Saccharomyces cerevisiae S288C: one gene and its partners. Changing the gene in region 4 together with the main gene of any one other region gives a genetic interaction. Each region holds a gene or a part of one and is shown on either strand. Other genes may lie near its edges.

What was found.
Region 1: mutations in CIT2 (region 4) and HSP78 impair growth when combined (synthetic growth defect), as found in Saccharomyces cerevisiae (one study listed by BioGRID).
Region 2: mutations in CIT2 (region 4) and YAT2 impair growth when combined (synthetic growth defect), as found in Saccharomyces cerevisiae (one study listed by BioGRID).
Region 3: mutations in CIT2 (region 4) and SYM1 impair growth when combined (synthetic growth defect), as found in Saccharomyces cerevisiae (one study listed by BioGRID).

What each region holds. Positions count from the first base shown.
Region 1 is NC_001136.10:971,242-975,911, reverse strand, and holds HSP78 (chaperone ATPase HSP78), read left to right. Parts: upstream 1-1,668; coding exon 1,669-4,104; downstream 4,105-4,670. Other genes in the region: YAP6 (Yap6p), read left to right, coding at 130-1,281; RKM4 (ribosomal lysine N-methyltransferase), read left to right, coding at 4,438-4,670. UniProt on the Saccharomyces cerevisiae protein: Required, in concert with mitochondrial Hsp70 (SSC1), for the dissociation, resolubilization and refolding of aggregates of damaged proteins in the mitochondrial matrix after heat stress.
Region 2 is NC_001137.3:200,647-205,529, reverse strand, and holds YAT2 (carnitine O-acetyltransferase YAT2), read right to left. Parts: upstream 3,339-4,883; coding exon 567-3,338; downstream 1-566. Other genes in the region: GCD11 (translation initiation factor eIF2 subunit gamma), read right to left, coding at 1-279; PRO3 (pyrroline-5-carboxylate reductase), read right to left, coding at 3,594-4,454; SRB4 (Srb4p), read right to left, coding at 4,655-4,883. UniProt on the Saccharomyces cerevisiae protein: Carnitine O-acetyltransferase involved in the shutteling of acetyl-CoA in the cell.
Region 3 is NC_001144.5:639,490-642,561, reverse strand, and holds SYM1 (ethanol metabolism protein), read right to left. Parts: upstream 1,099-3,072; coding exon 505-1,098; downstream 1-504. Other genes in the region: nucleobindin SSP120, read right to left, coding at 1,541-2,245; YEF3 (translation elongation factor EF-3), read right to left, coding at 2,648-3,072. UniProt on the Saccharomyces cerevisiae protein: May be involved in cellular response to stress. Required to maintain mitochondrial DNA (mtDNA) integrity and stability. Required for ethanol metabolism and tolerance during heat shock.
Region 4 is NC_001135.5:120,384-123,983, reverse strand, and holds CIT2 (citrate (Si)-synthase CIT2), read left to right. Parts: upstream 1-1,655; coding exon 1,656-3,038; downstream 3,039-3,600. Other genes in the region: YCR006C (uncharacterized protein), read left to right, coding at 981-1,454. UniProt on the Saccharomyces cerevisiae protein: Peroxisomal citrate synthase involved in the citrate homeostasis. Catalyzes the condensation of acetyl coenzyme A and oxaloacetate to form citrate. Citrate synthase is the rate-limiting enzyme of the tricarboxylic acid (TCA) cycle.

The DNA of each region.
Region 1 (4,670 bases), on a different chromosome or scaffold from region 4:
TATTAAACACAATCTTTCCTCAAACTGTAACACCGAGTTTTTTTCCCCACCAATCGTGAATCCGATAGCATATACTTTTGTCTAGAAATTTCAATAAACAACAGAATAACGAAGAGTGCTAAGGGACAAATGCAAAACCCTCCGTTGATTCGTCCCGATATGTATAATCAGGGAAGCAGCTCAATGGCTACTTATAATGCCTCTGAGAAGAATCTAAATGAGCATCCTTCTCCGCAAATTGCACAGCCCAGCACGTCCCAAAAGTTACCTTATAGAATAAATCCTACAACCACTAATGGGGACACCGACATATCTGTTAACAGCAATCCTATCCAGCCTCCTTTGCCAAACTTGATGCATCTATCTGGTCCGTCTGACTATAGATCGATGCATCAAAGTCCTATACATCCATCTTATATCATCCCTCCGCATTCAAATGAAAGAAAACAATCAGCTTCTTACAACAGACCTCAAAATGCTCATGTTAGTATTCAACCTTCCGTGGTATTCCCCCCTAAAAGTTATTCCATATCTTATGCACCTTATCAAATAAATCCCCCTTTACCAAATGGACTTCCGAACCAGAGCATATCTTTGAATAAGGAGTATATTGCAGAGGAGCAACTATCAACCCTCCCATCTCGCAATACCAGTGTTACTACTGCACCTCCTTCTTTTCAAAACAGTGCTGATACCGCTAAAAATTCAGCTGATAATAATGATAATAATGATAATGTAACCAAACCTGTTCCTGATAAAGACACCCAACTCATAAGTAGTTCAGGCAAAACTTTAAGAAATACTAGAAGAGCTGCTCAAAATAGAACCGCTCAAAAGGCATTTAGACAAAGGAAAGAAAAATACATCAAGAATCTCGAACAAAAATCAAAGATATTTGACGATTTACTAGCAGAAAATAATAACTTCAAATCATTAAACGATTCATTAAGAAATGACAACAACATTTTAATAGCTCAGCATGAAGCTATAAGGAATGCAATTACTATGTTAAGAAGTGAGTATGATGTCTTATGTAACGAAAACAACATGTTGAAGAATGAGAATAGTATAATAAAAAATGAACACAACATGTCAAGAAATGAAAATGAAAACCTAAAACTTGAGAATAAACGCTTCCACGCTGAATATATACGAATGATCGAGGATATTGAAAATACTAAAAGAAAGGAACAAGAACAACGAGATGAAATAGAGCAACTAAAAAAAAAAATAAGATCCCTGGAGGAAATAGTAGGGAGACACTCGGATAGTGCCACGTAATACAATAAATAGGGAGCAGATATTGATCTCTAGTACTGGAAGATCAACTTTTTGCTTTGGCCTTATAGGTCATATAAATTTTAATAATTAATGTAACAGACAAATCAAGGTGTGATTCTGTTCTGATAAAATTTGTTATTTTCCAGAATGTTCTAGAAGTGTTCTTTCATCTAATGGCATCGCGTTTGAATAGGGGGTGCACGGACTTTTTTTTTTGAATAAACCCCTGTGATTCATTGTATCTAAGCTCATCAAACCCCCTAGTTACTGACTCACGCACACACATATATATACATATATATGCATATGTAAGCATGAAAAGTTTGACTTCTATTATCTATTCCAGGAACCCTGAAACAAGCGAGTGAAAATCTTTCAAGGTTAAATATGTTAAGACAAGCTACAAAAGCACCAATACAAAAATATTTACAGAGAACGCAACTATTAAGGCGAAGTACTCCACGAATATACACTATTGTACAGTGTAAAAGATCTATTTGCAGTTTTAATGCAAGACCTCGAGTAGCCAATAAACTTCTATCAGATATAAAAACAAATGCATTAAATGAAGTCGCTATTTCAACCTGCGCCCTCAAGAGCTCATATGGATTGCCCAATTTCAAAAGAACGTACGTCCAAATGAGGATGGATCCCAATCAGCAACCGGAAAAGCCAGCTTTAGAACAATTTGGTACAAACTTGACAAAATTAGCGCGCGACGGTAAATTAGACCCTGTCATTGGCAGAGACGAAGAAATCGCAAGAGCTATTCAAATTTTATCAAGAAGAACAAAAAATAATCCATGTTTGATCGGTCGAGCTGGTGTCGGTAAAACCGCCCTTATTGATGGGTTAGCTCAAAGAATTGTTGCTGGGGAGGTCCCTGACTCGTTGAAAGATAAAGATCTAGTAGCTTTGGATTTGGGATCTTTGATTGCTGGCGCCAAATATAGAGGTGAATTCGAAGAACGTTTAAAAAAGGTTTTAGAAGAAATTGACAAGGCCAATGGTAAGGTTATTGTTTTCATTGATGAAGTTCATATGCTGCTTGGCTTAGGTAAAACTGATGGTAGTATGGATGCTTCTAACATCTTAAAGCCAAAACTGGCCCGTGGGCTACGTTGTATCTCTGCAACCACTCTTGATGAATTCAAAATCATTGAAAAAGATCCGGCTTTATCGAGAAGGTTTCAGCCTATCTTATTGAATGAGCCGAGCGTCTCCGATACGATTTCTATACTAAGAGGTTTAAAAGAAAGGTACGAGGTTCATCATGGTGTAAGGATCACTGATACAGCTTTAGTGTCTGCTGCAGTTCTTTCAAATCGTTATATAACAGACAGGTTTCTACCTGATAAAGCCATTGATCTAGTTGACGAAGCTTGTGCTGTACTACGTTTACAACATGAATCCAAACCGGATGAAATACAGAAACTGGATCGTGCTATTATGAAAATACAAATAGAACTGGAATCTTTAAAGAAAGAGACCGACCCTGTTTCCGTGGAAAGAAGAGAAGCGTTGGAAAAGGACCTAGAAATGAAAAATGATGAATTAAACAGATTAACAAAAATATGGGACGCTGAAAGAGCTGAAATTGAATCTATCAAAAATGCTAAGGCAAATTTGGAACAAGCAAGAATTGAGTTGGAAAAGTGTCAGAGAGAGGGTGATTACACTAAAGCATCCGAGTTGCGATATTCCAGAATTCCTGACTTGGAGAAGAAGGTAGCTTTAAGCGAGAAGAGTAAGGACGGAGATAAAGTAAATTTACTTCATGATTCAGTTACTTCTGACGATATTTCTAAGGTTGTTGCCAAAATGACTGGTATTCCTACAGAAACGGTGATGAAAGGCGACAAGGACCGCCTACTGTATATGGAAAATTCTTTAAAAGAAAGAGTCGTTGGCCAAGACGAGGCCATTGCTGCTATTTCTGATGCTGTACGTCTTCAAAGGGCTGGTTTGACCAGTGAAAAGAGACCTATTGCCAGCTTTATGTTCTTAGGTCCTACTGGTACTGGTAAAACAGAATTGACCAAGGCTTTAGCTGAATTCCTATTTGATGACGAATCAAATGTGATTCGTTTTGACATGTCAGAATTTCAAGAGAAGCATACTGTCTCTCGTTTAATCGGTGCACCTCCAGGTTACGTCTTAAGCGAATCTGGTGGCCAATTAACTGAGGCTGTCAGAAGAAAGCCTTATGCTGTCGTTTTATTTGATGAATTTGAAAAAGCGCACCCCGATGTTTCCAAACTACTGTTGCAAGTGTTGGATGAAGGTAAGCTGACCGATTCCCTAGGCCATCATGTTGATTTCCGTAACACGATCATTGTGATGACCTCAAACATTGGACAAGATATTTTATTAAACGACACAAAGTTGGGTGATGATGGTAAGATTGACACCGCAACCAAGAATAAAGTTATCGAAGCAATGAAAAGATCCTATCCACCTGAGTTCATCAATCGTATTGATGATATTCTAGTTTTCAATAGGCTATCCAAGAAAGTTTTGAGGTCAATTGTTGATATTAGAATTGCAGAAATTCAAGATCGTTTGGCCGAAAAAAGAATGAAAATTGATTTAACTGATGAAGCGAAGGATTGGCTAACTGACAAAGGCTACGATCAATTATATGGTGCAAGGCCATTGAATAGATTAATTCATAGACAGATTTTGAACTCCATGGCAACTTTCTTATTAAAAGGTCAAATTAGAAACGGCGAAACTGTTAGAGTGGTGGTTAAAGATACTAAGCTTGTCGTGCTACCAAATCATGAAGAAGGCGAAGTTGTTGAAGAGGAAGCTGAAAAGTAACTGCACAAGCGGTTTATGAATAATAAATTCCCAAGAAAATACATATATAAACATACACATTTCTCTTTTGTAAATAGAAGAATTAAAATAAAAGATTTTTGGTATCAAATAAACTGGATGAATGTTACATGTACCAAGTGCCCTGGCAATACAATAAAGCTATTGGTCTGGAAGTATTGATATTATTCAAATGTAATCTTCGAGAGTTACTGCGGGTAATACACACATGTGTCACATATTTTTCTCTCGAGTATGAAAAAATTTCATTACCTTTGTAAAAGCTTAATACGATCATTTCAATATGACTAGTAATAAAGGGGAAAGTTTGCGAAAATGGATGATTTTTCAAGAGATACCGAAAACTTTGTTTGCTGGTTAAAAACTACCGCTGAAATTGAAGTATCCCCTAAGATAGAAATCAAAGATCTTTGTTGTGATAATCAAGGCCGCGCAGTAGTTGCCACTCAAAAGATTAAGAAGGATGAAACATTGTTTAAAATACCTCGTAGTTCTGTTTTAAGCGTTACAACATCTCAACTGATAAAGGATTATCCTTCTCTCAAGGA
Region 2 (4,883 bases), on a different chromosome or scaffold from region 4:
TTCGGCGGATAGTGGGTTTAATTTTGAAAAATCAGGGTTTAATGGTTGTTCGGGCAAACCACCACCTTCTTCAAATTCCCTTTTCCTTTTTTCTTCTTCAGTTTCCCCGTCTTCTTCCAAGCCAGTGAAGGCGACTTTCTTCTTTGGCTTATCAGCATCTTGTGTTTCTTGTGTTTCTTGAGCTACAACTTCCGTTTCTTCAACGATATCTGGTTCACCAACTGGTTCCAAATTACCGTTGATAATAATGCTAGGTTCTTGGTCTTGTAAGTCACTCATGTCTACCTCTAATGCGCGATGTTAACGGTGTATTACGCTCTTTCCGCCCTCTTTGCTTAGCTCCTGGTACAGGTCGAGATGAAATCTCTGTCTTTTGTACTGATGATCAGCATCGGGCTATTCTATGAAAATTTTTTCAATGGCAAATCTGGTCCGGGTTACTGACATGAGAGCAAATAATAAGCATAAATTAAAGCATATTGATATACTTCATATAACAAGTATATATCACATCACGCCAAGCTTACGCATAATGCTAGTAATAAATAGATAAACAAAGAGCGTTCTTATTGATCTAAGGTCGCCACCTTTCTACCCACACGACTGCGGTCAAAATCAATATCGAATCTTGAGTTGATGACGTTACGTTTCTTGGAATTTAGAGATGTAGCTGAAGATGCCGAAGAGGATGTGCCATCAGCATTGCCAGCAACTATTTCAATATCTGTCTCATCATCTGCTTCCAACCCATTACTTGCCACTTCCCGCGGTTGGATCTGTAAAATTTCATGGCCTGTATTTAATTTTTCCTTTTCTGTGGGAACGGAAACTGCGGAACTTGAATGATCATTGTCTGCGCTCATGGTCAAGCCATTGAAGGTTTTCTGCAAATTCTTCATCGATGGTGTTTTAGATATATTCCTACTGTCAATGTGGCCTTCCAAATCGAAAAACCCGCCATACCTGTTCAAATTTACCTGTGATGAAGAAGATGTTTTGCGGGAGCCATTGACTGTATGGCCGTTACGTTTCGGAGGATTATTGACTGCATTGTCCATTTCATACAATTTATCGACCACTGGACTGATCTTCACGCCAGTTTTATTATGAGAAGTGCCGCGTGACATCCTCCAGTAGGAACGAATTTCGCCTAACACCCAACTTAACATAAACATTAACCTGTCACCCTGTCGAAATTGCGATGTCACGGTCAAATCTACTTGATCATCTTTAATGATGTACCCTATTCCAAAGCCATGAGGTACAGCAGGAGTTATACCAAATGTCGTGGTAGCAGCATTACCACAGTTGGCAACAATCAACTCAGGCTGTGAGAAAGGTAAAACAAGTGGATTTTCGAAAAGATCTTTCGCAGCAGATGATTCATCACCACTTAAGTGGATACCAAAATGGTCATGAAATTTGAAGAGATATTTCAATGCATTGAAGTGTTTTTCATAACCTACCCCAGACTTTGCATGTTTAACCATGTTATTATGTGTTTCGCAGGTTTGGATAAATTTGTCTAATTTATCTGTCCCATCAATGGAGCTAGAAATAAACAATTGACATAGTTCCAACAGCGCTTGACTTTGAATGTTAATAAAAGATGATCTCGAGTTTTTGAAACCACGTGTGGATACTGGTTCTAATCCAAACACCATTCTTCCATACAAAGCATAGTGAGCTATTTGTAAAGCTACTTGAACCATCGAATCGGGCTTGACTCCTAATCTTTGAGCTGACCTTCTGCCCAATGGAATAGAAGCGCGAACAATATCATACTTGGAAATCAGATCAGCTAGTTTGGTTTCTGACAAATGGACATGTGTGTTCAGGATGTTACTGAAAGACCAATCGATTTTATTTACAACCAACTTAGGGTCAATTTCAGAAGGGCCTCCGCCGTCGGCACTTATGGTCGCCGTCATCAGTTTTTTAGTTTCAGGATCCATTTGTGTCACGTTAGGCCAGAGTGAAAACTGTGGGTCACCGGCGTTAACGTCTCTAGCTAATCTCAAGACTGATTCTGTATAAATTTCAGAAGTAAACCGAAGCACGACTGACCCGTCACATGTGAAGGAATCCCAAATCACTGTGGCTTTTGCATCTGCAGTGACAACTAACTGTAATTTATCATACCAACGAGAAACACATGAACCCACTTGATGGCCTTTGCTATTTATTATAGAAGTACCGTAAAACACTCTCTTACAATTGGCGGAAGTACATTTCTTGTCTCGCTCAGTGATAGTCCTGTTAAACATTTGACTGATATCAGCGGTATCATCGCCATCATTGGTAGTTTCTTCTTGTGATTCGTCCAGCACTAACACGAACAGAGCAGAGTCTATGCGATGTAATTCATTAGGATACCTTTTCTGTAGTCTCTTCCTTGCATATTTCCAGTTTCTAAAAGAGTGAGAGGTCAAACTACCTAACGCAGTTGATTTTTCAATGCCAGAAGAATCTTTTATTATATGGTTGAAAATTGTGGTTAATTCTGCAGCAGTGTATATAATTTTATTCGTCGAATCAAGTACTTCCAGTGTATAGTATTGGCCCCTGGAGATGATCAAGATGTGTTTGCTATCCGGATGTCTTTTTATAGTTATACCATTGCCAGTGAATATGTCTTCTTCGTGTTTTCTTTTACGGTCATCAAAGTCTTTTTGGGTGGGTTCGTCGTTATCGTCCTCATCGCTTGAATAATCAGGGTCTTCTAAATCAGATGCTGTGTAAGGTTTGTTCAAATCAAAATTTTCAACCTCACCGCGCTGAAAAACAGGACTACGAGTAGTACCGAACAAGTTCAGAAATGGAGCCATTGACAGTGGTTTGCCATTGGTGGCATTGATATCTGGTGGCAACAAATCTTGTTTCAAAGCAGAAATAAACCTGGCCGCAGAGTGCACTAGGACGGCTGACCTATCAGCTTGAGTGATGTTTGGCAAAGCGTCATCTGCGAGAACCAAGAAGGGATTCCTGGGTAGGACATCGTCCTGAATCTCCCTAGTGGAGGTCTGGTTATTGATGTCTAAGTGTAATTCATCAAGGTAGCAATCCCTAGTGTCATGGTAGCTCTGTAGTTTAGATTGCAGCTTCTCACTTACGGGATTCTCTTCAAAATCTCTTATTATGGATGACAGCTTCTCAATTTGTTCTGGATCTAAAGGATGTTGATAGTAACCATCAGCATAATACAATGGCTCTAAACTCTCCTTCAGACGCTGCAAAGTGTCACAGAGTTTAGGTAATGGTAACTTGGGTAGTTCTTCCTCATGCTTAAATGTTCGCCCCGACTTGTCAGACGAAACAATAGTACTGCCGCTTGACATGGTTGCTTAGTTTTATTTTAATTTTGATTTTTGATTTTCATTTCAAATGAATCAATTGCTCTTACTCATTACAAACACATTTATATAATTTTTTTCTTTTATACGCTCCAATTAGTGTCATTATTATGGGGTAGTCATTCATCGTGATGATTCATTATCGGACCGACGGGAAAATGACGAAAAAATGCAAGGTCAGTAATAAAAAAATAATATACGGCTACAAAGCGAACATACATACATTTCACGCAAAGCAATCTATTTCTTCTTTTGGCCTAATTGTGACGCAACACGGGCTGCCTCTTCAACACCATTGATAATACCGCTCTTGACGCCCTTTTCTTCCATTACGCACAACCCGGCAATAGTTGTACCACCTGGTGTGCAAACTTGATGCTTTAAAACGGATGGATGAGCACCGCTTTTCTCAACCATCTTCACTGTTCCTTCTAGAACTTTCATGGCACACTCCTTACTCTCTTGTAATGGGATTCCCAATTTCAACCCACTCTCCATCAAGGATTCTAACATCAAGAGAACAAAAGCGGGGCCTGAACCGACTAAAGCCGTAGCAGCATCCATGTTCTTTTCTGGAAGCTCAACGTATTTACCAACTTGGCTAATCAATTCGTTGACCAGTGGCTTTTGCTCTTTGGAAACATCAGCTGAGTAGGACACCACCGCACAACCATATCCGTACTTGGCAGGTGTGTTCGTCATAACACGGCAAACAGTGCTAGTGTATTGACTCAATTGGTCAATTGTCCAGCCAGCAGCCAGGGAAATAAGTAGCTTTCCCCCAATGACGCTCTTCACACCATTCAACACTTCTTCGGCCAAAAATGGCTTGGTACCAAGAAGAACTACAGAAGCTTCTTCGACAGCGCTCACGTTGTGACCGTAAGTGCTTTCGACTTTAATACCGTTAGGAGATTCGTCGAATGTCTCAACTAGATCGGTAACTTGTTGTGCACTAGGTTCATCATGGTTACATGTGATAATTTTGGAAGGGTAAAATGCAGCAGCAGTTTCATCAGCCGCCTTTGGAGCATTATAAATGGCGGAAAGAAGTGCTTGGCCCATAACACCGCAGCCTAAAATTGCCAATGTGTAAGTCATATCTGTAGTTGGTTTGTTTGCTATTGGTGTTGTGTTACTTCTATTGTTGTTACACCGTTCTTAACCTGGCAATGTTATTAAATCCTTCATATTCTTGTTTTCGAAGATAAGATCTTGTCCTTTTGTACGTATGCGACTTTATATAGTAATAAATGGCATTCTATGGCAATGTATGTAGGTTTAAGGAGTGACTCAGGATATTACACCTTCTTTTGCTGGATGTACTCAGCGACAATAAAATGTAGGAAGTCCTCTACTTCTTTAAAATCAGAAAATGTTGTGTCAAAGGACACTGCGTTGGCTTCCGTACCAGCTGAAAACTTGATGTGAATGAGTGCGTTACAATAGTTAGGACTTTCGAGCATTAAACTTAGATTAGGGCTTTTGTGCTCAGTTAATGGTAGATTTATTTTGAGTTCACGTCTAGGT
Region 3 (3,072 bases), on a different chromosome or scaffold from region 4:
TTCAGACTGATTCTTTCCAGTTACGAAGGTAGGAGTACAATATGCATACATAACGCAGCGATTTACAAGATATGTTCCTCGGGTCTATGTTTTGACCTCTTTTAACGGCATATGAAAAAACCTTTGAAAAAATGAAATATTATATAAAGGTCCAGAACCCACAGTGGTACTAAAAGGCCCACTTAAGTCTCACACCTAATTAAACACCTTTGCATAAACGGTAGCTGAAGAACAACAGGCATGACCGCAATAGTGAAATGTTAGCTACTATTTCCTCTATAAAAGAAGTACGAATGTAATTAAATAAATTGTTCCTGACCAAGCACATCTGTAAAGGAAAAGCAGATTGCTAGCCAACTTTGGTGACTCAAATATTTATGAAGTTGGTCTGCTCTCTGCCGAAAGTCTATTAGGTATATGCTGTTCCAGTACCCCAAGGAACAAGGTCTGATAAATATGCTAGTTGAATTCCAAATATTTTCAAAATCAGGATTTCTTATCCAGTTATTCGACCACGGGTGGATAATGAACAGGTACCTTGTCTTTCTCCATAACCTTTGAGTTTTTATAAGATAAGTAAGTGTTCCAAAATATTGCAACGACATTAACAGCTAGTAACCTATGTTGTAAAGGAACAACAGAAAAGTTAATCGCTTGGAAAAGTGGCCAAACTGCCCAATTAGTCAAAAGTGTAGGCCACCATTGCTCTTTTATTTTCAACTTAGCTACGTCAAATGATCTACCTTCCATGATGGACATACAGGTGAAATAAAATGGCAAACCTAGCGGCGCAAACGCCAATTGATCGACAGCTACCCGTAAAACCATATTAGACCAGTGGTACTGAGGTCTGTTACGCATATAAATCTTGTTGTTCAAGATCTTGTACCACTTGTCACCTATAAAGGAGAAAATTAAAGAACCATAGATGACAGCCCTAGCTGTCCTTTTATAATCATAACCCTTGTTTACTTTGGATGTTGGAAACAACAATTGAGCAGAAACATCACCAATTCCAAATAGCGCACCTGTCATTATCGCATTCGTAGTTTTGGGCCTTCTCTTCAAGCTCGCTTCATATAAATGCAATAACTTCATACTGTTTTAATATCAATTCTATCTTTCCTATAGTAATAACAAAAGACTGTGTTTGCCTTTTCCCTTTTGTAAGGCTAAATATGACAACATAGCATTCAAATAGCTCTTCTATCATATCACTATCATAGATATTTCCATTTTTTTTTTTTTTTCACTTTGTACTTATACTGTTAAAGTTCGACATTTAAGGGACAAGGAGGTGCCACTGTTTCCCGAAACGCTTCTTGTTACCATCGGAGAGAAAAGACCAATACATACGTAATTAGAACATAGAAAATAGAACGTTTAAAGTAGATAGTTAATCACAAAGGAGAGGCATCACAACGATGCGATGGTAAAAATATATTTTAAGTGCTTTGATTACTTACTACATGCTAATTGACTACATACATAGTGTCTTGAATATTTTCTCAGTCTCAACTATTCATCTTGACCAAGTCCATTAAAAAATTCCATTTTTGAATTTCTCGGGAATATTTTTCAGCTCTATTCTAGACTCTAGTTCGTCATCAGTTATTACAGTAGCTCTAGAAGCGCCTCTTTGAATTTCTTCTTCATGTTCAATTTCATGTTCATGATGAAGCAATTCATGTTCTATGTCTTCTTTGTGAACGACTTTAACGTCTGGATCTTTGTCCTTATGAAACTTATTCCAGTGATGAATTTCATATTCTAGCTCAAAATCGGAGTGGTGACCTACACCAACGCCAAGGTCAGGGAACTTGTTTCCTCTCTTAGCAAATTGTAGATATTCCTCCTTGGTGATTTTGGTATTATCATCAACATCCAATAACCTCATAATAAGGCTAACAACACGCTTAGCCATTTCATTGTCAATTTTCTCAGATTCATCGTGTTGTCCCATACCATCACCAGCCCCCACAATTTCTTCACGGTTCAACCCGTAGAGAGATAGAATATCGTTTTCATCTAAAAATCCTTTCTTCTTGATATCATGTAACGCGAAGAAAGTCTCTGGAGTGTAATCTTTTAGCTGATGCTCATGGTCCATATGCCACTCCTCCCAGGATAAACCATCAGGTGGTGCCTCATTTTCCACATTAATTTCAGATCCTATTTCTGCCGTGGCAGTTACTTTATATAGAGTGAAAGCCAAAGAAAATACAAATCCCCTCAAAAACCTCATTTCCACAATTTTAATAGAACAGGGATGAAAAAATTTTAGGTCTTGGCTCTTTTATCTTTTCTAGAAGGAATATAATATTACGCTCAATCATGTTTTAAAGCTTCCTAGTCTATGATCCGTCACCTATTTTTATTCTTCCAAAAAAATATTTTCGTTACCCTCTTACCGAAAAGGGTATGAGGCAATGCTCAATTTGCCTGAGCTTAAGAATGTATGAAAAAAAAAGATGTCTGACTAATGGAACGCTTTTTCTTTTAAATAATGCCTTTCTTTATAATAAGGAAGTTGCGTCTATATTTTACCAAAATAAACAATATTACAAAAACATAGAAATTAAAATATACATAAATTATTGATCAATAAAAATCTTAAAGAAAACTGTGAAAGCAGTGATCAAAAAGATTAGAATTCTTCGTCAGAAGAAACGTAAGCATCACCCAATTCCTTCTTCTTCTTCATTCTTTCCTTCTTCTTCTTTCTCAATTCCGCAGAAGACAACTTCTTCTTCTTCTTACCACCGGCAATCTTGTTACCCATAGCATCGAATTTATCTTCTTCGTCTTCCTTCTTTTCGATTCTTGGACCAGCACCTTGACCACTAACCCAGTTGTGACCAGATGGAGTCATTCTACCGTCCTTGACGGCCCAGACTTCTTCAGTCAAGTTCTTTGTGAATTCAGCAGAGTGAGTAATGATAATAACACCACCTTCAAATTCCTTCAAAGCCTTAGACAAAGCACCCAAAGAATCTCTGTCCAGATAGTTGGTAGGTTCATCTAAGACAATCAAGTGAGGTCTTTGCCATGTACCGGCAGCTAAGACCAACT
Region 4 (3,600 bases):
ACAGTTTACCCGGAGGTCATCATTCTCTTTAATGACAATATTTACTCTGTCGTCACTTTCGTAATTGTTTCGTGTCTGTTTCGCAGTCCATTTGGAATGCGACAGTAAGTTAATTACAAGAAGTAGTAACAACAACTTAGCGATAATGTTTCTCATGTGTGACGCAGGGTTACTTTTGACTTAAAACGACCATTTTGCAGTTTTACTTCACGTTCGCAAACTTTCAATAACTGGCTGTTAATCTGGTCGTTAAGAAAAAGGTCAATGACGATGGCAGGGAAAATAGGGCTGTATCCCAGACTTCAGGCGCTGTTCTGCCGGGATTTTTCAAAGGAGGGCGTGTGGTCTAGAGGTATGATTCTCGCTTAGGGTGCGGGAGGTCCCGGGTTCGAGTCCCGGCTCGCCCCACATTGTTTTTACAATGTGTGGTGTCGCTACTGGCAGAAATGGTACGGCATTTATCTTTCCGACGTAAAACAAGTGTACTCAGGAGCAGTTTTTTTTTGCAATATGCTAAAACTCGTACAATAAACCAAGGCGCATGGCATGTTTGAACATTTACTCGTTATTTCGGAGGTTCCTCAGATGGCTGAATGGAGGTACAGATTATGATTTCTAGAAAACTGCAGCGGACTTTACAGAGTAAGCTGGAGAAGACCAATGTTAATGAAAACTTGAACTGCTGAAGTGTGATATTCAATGTATGAGATAATCCATTAAATCATCTACAGTTTAAAGACTGTAGGCTTACATGACCGTTTATCACTGCGATATTGGAGGAAGCGCTTCGGATCAATGGACCTTTTACTTAGCAGAGCGAAGGCTGAAAATCATGAACCCCAACAGCATGTGTGACCTCTCTTCTCACGCCTGGCAAGAAACCAAACTACGGCATACATTCAGCGCACCAAAAAGGAACTCCGTACTATTTACATTAAAAACAAGAAAATGTGTTGCCATTTCCGTAAAATGAATGGCCCATGTTCATACGCGTATGCAACCGTCTTATTTACACTCCGACTAATGTCCTTCTAATTACTGTGGAAGACGGCCGTATAAGCGTCCTTCTGTGGTTTAGATATGCTATACCGGCGGAACTTTGTTACACACGGCTCGCGCGAATCCTTAGGGGAAAACATTGCGCTGACTTTCCCCAGAGTTGTTGCCACAACATAAGCCGCTTTGGAGTGTTGAACAAATCCGTCCTTGGGTCATTCAATCAATGGCTTGGCGGTATCTCAAAAGAGCGCAAACTAATAGCGCGCACATTCGACGCATTTATCCGGTGGTCATCGACTAGGGGCGAAGAGGTCACGACCTATTTTTTCTTGCAGAAAAAAAGTGTGACCTTTTCCGTAGCTAGACGTCTATCAGGGCGTCAGCAATGGGAGGCACAGCGGAAAAACAATAACAATGGTAAGCGCAATTACCTTTTGAGCGTTACATTCGTATGAAATTGGTGACGTTAATCTAAAGATAGTCATGCTCTCAAAAGGGCCCATTATTCTCGACGTTGAGCGTATATAAGACTATTAAAACTTGGTTCTTTAGATATGGTGTTCGTTCCTCATTATTAAGTTTCAGGGAACAATATCAACACATATCATAACAGGTTCTCAAAACTTTTTGTTTTAATAATACTAGTAACAAGAAAAATGACAGTTCCTTATCTAAATTCAAACAGAAATGTTGCATCATATTTACAATCAAATTCAAGCCAAGAAAAGACTCTAAAAGAGAGATTTAGCGAAATCTACCCCATCCATGCTCAAGATGTAAGGCAATTCGTTAAAGAGCATGGCAAAACTAAAATTAGCGATGTTCTATTAGAACAGGTATATGGTGGTATGAGAGGTATTCCAGGGAGCGTATGGGAAGGTTCCGTTTTGGACCCAGAAGACGGTATTCGTTTCAGAGGTCGTACGATCGCCGACATTCAAAAGGACCTGCCCAAGGCAAAAGGAAGCTCACAACCACTACCAGAAGCTCTCTTTTGGTTATTGCTAACTGGCGAGGTTCCAACTCAAGCGCAAGTTGAAAACTTATCAGCTGATCTAATGTCAAGATCGGAACTACCTAGTCATGTCGTTCAACTTTTGGATAATTTACCAAAGGACTTACACCCAATGGCTCAATTCTCTATTGCTGTAACTGCCTTGGAAAGCGAGTCAAAGTTTGCTAAGGCTTATGCTCAAGGAATTTCCAAGCAAGATTATTGGAGTTATACTTTTGAAGATTCACTAGACTTGCTGGGTAAATTGCCAGTTATTGCAGCTAAAATTTATCGTAATGTATTCAAAGATGGCAAAATGGGTGAAGTGGACCCAAATGCCGATTATGCTAAAAATCTGGTCAACTTGATTGGTTCTAAGGATGAAGATTTCGTGGACTTGATGAGACTTTATTTAACCATTCATTCGGATCACGAAGGTGGTAATGTATCTGCACATACATCCCATCTTGTGGGCTCAGCACTATCATCACCTTATCTGTCCCTTGCATCAGGTTTGAACGGGTTGGCTGGCCCACTTCATGGGCGTGCTAATCAAGAAGTACTAGAATGGTTATTTGCACTTAAAGAAGAGGTAAATGATGACTACTCTAAAGATACGATCGAAAAATATTTATGGGATACTCTAAACTCAGGAAGAGTCATTCCCGGTTATGGTCATGCTGTGCTAAGGAAAACTGATCCTCGTTATATGGCTCAGCGTAAGTTTGCCATGGACCATTTTCCAGATTATGAATTATTCAAGTTAGTTTCATCAATATACGAGGTAGCACCTGGCGTATTGACTGAACATGGTAAAACCAAAAATCCATGGCCAAATGTAGATGCTCACTCTGGTGTCTTATTACAATATTATGGACTAAAAGAATCTTCTTTCTATACCGTTTTATTTGGCGTTTCAAGGGCATTTGGTATTCTTGCTCAATTGATCACTGATAGGGCCATCGGTGCTTCCATTGAAAGGCCAAAGTCCTATTCTACTGAGAAATACAAGGAATTGGTCAAAAACATTGAAAGCAAACTATAGTTGGATTACATCCTACTTTTACACCCCTCTGCATATTTTTCTTTCCTCATGACCATTTAGTATTTAGCACTTATTTAATACAATAATATATTCTTTTAACCATACACTATGATAATGATATTTATAATTAAGAAAATGAACGTTACTATTTCCTTCCTCGTTTTAGTTACATAAAATTTACTAATGGTTGGAAAATTGCGGAAGCTATCACGCGATAACTAGGTACACACGCATTATTTTTATAATCCCATTATTAATAAATCCGTTATGACCCTTTTAGTAATAACTTATTAAGAACCTCCGGGTAAAATACTGTACTGCGGGGAAAGAAGGCGCTTCCCCTTCTTGGAACTTAATATAAATAATAAATTTGCCTAAGGGCATTAGGCCTTACTGCCTTGGCTAGCGTACTTATTTCGATTCATACAATTTGCACTATTCCGGCAGCTAGTTGATACTATAACATCCTACATTTTTACTTGTTTTACGTTCATTTTTATTTGAAGTTTGTAAACTTTATCAGAAAGAAAACAAGAAGAGGAAAAAGGAAAAGAGGGGTCAG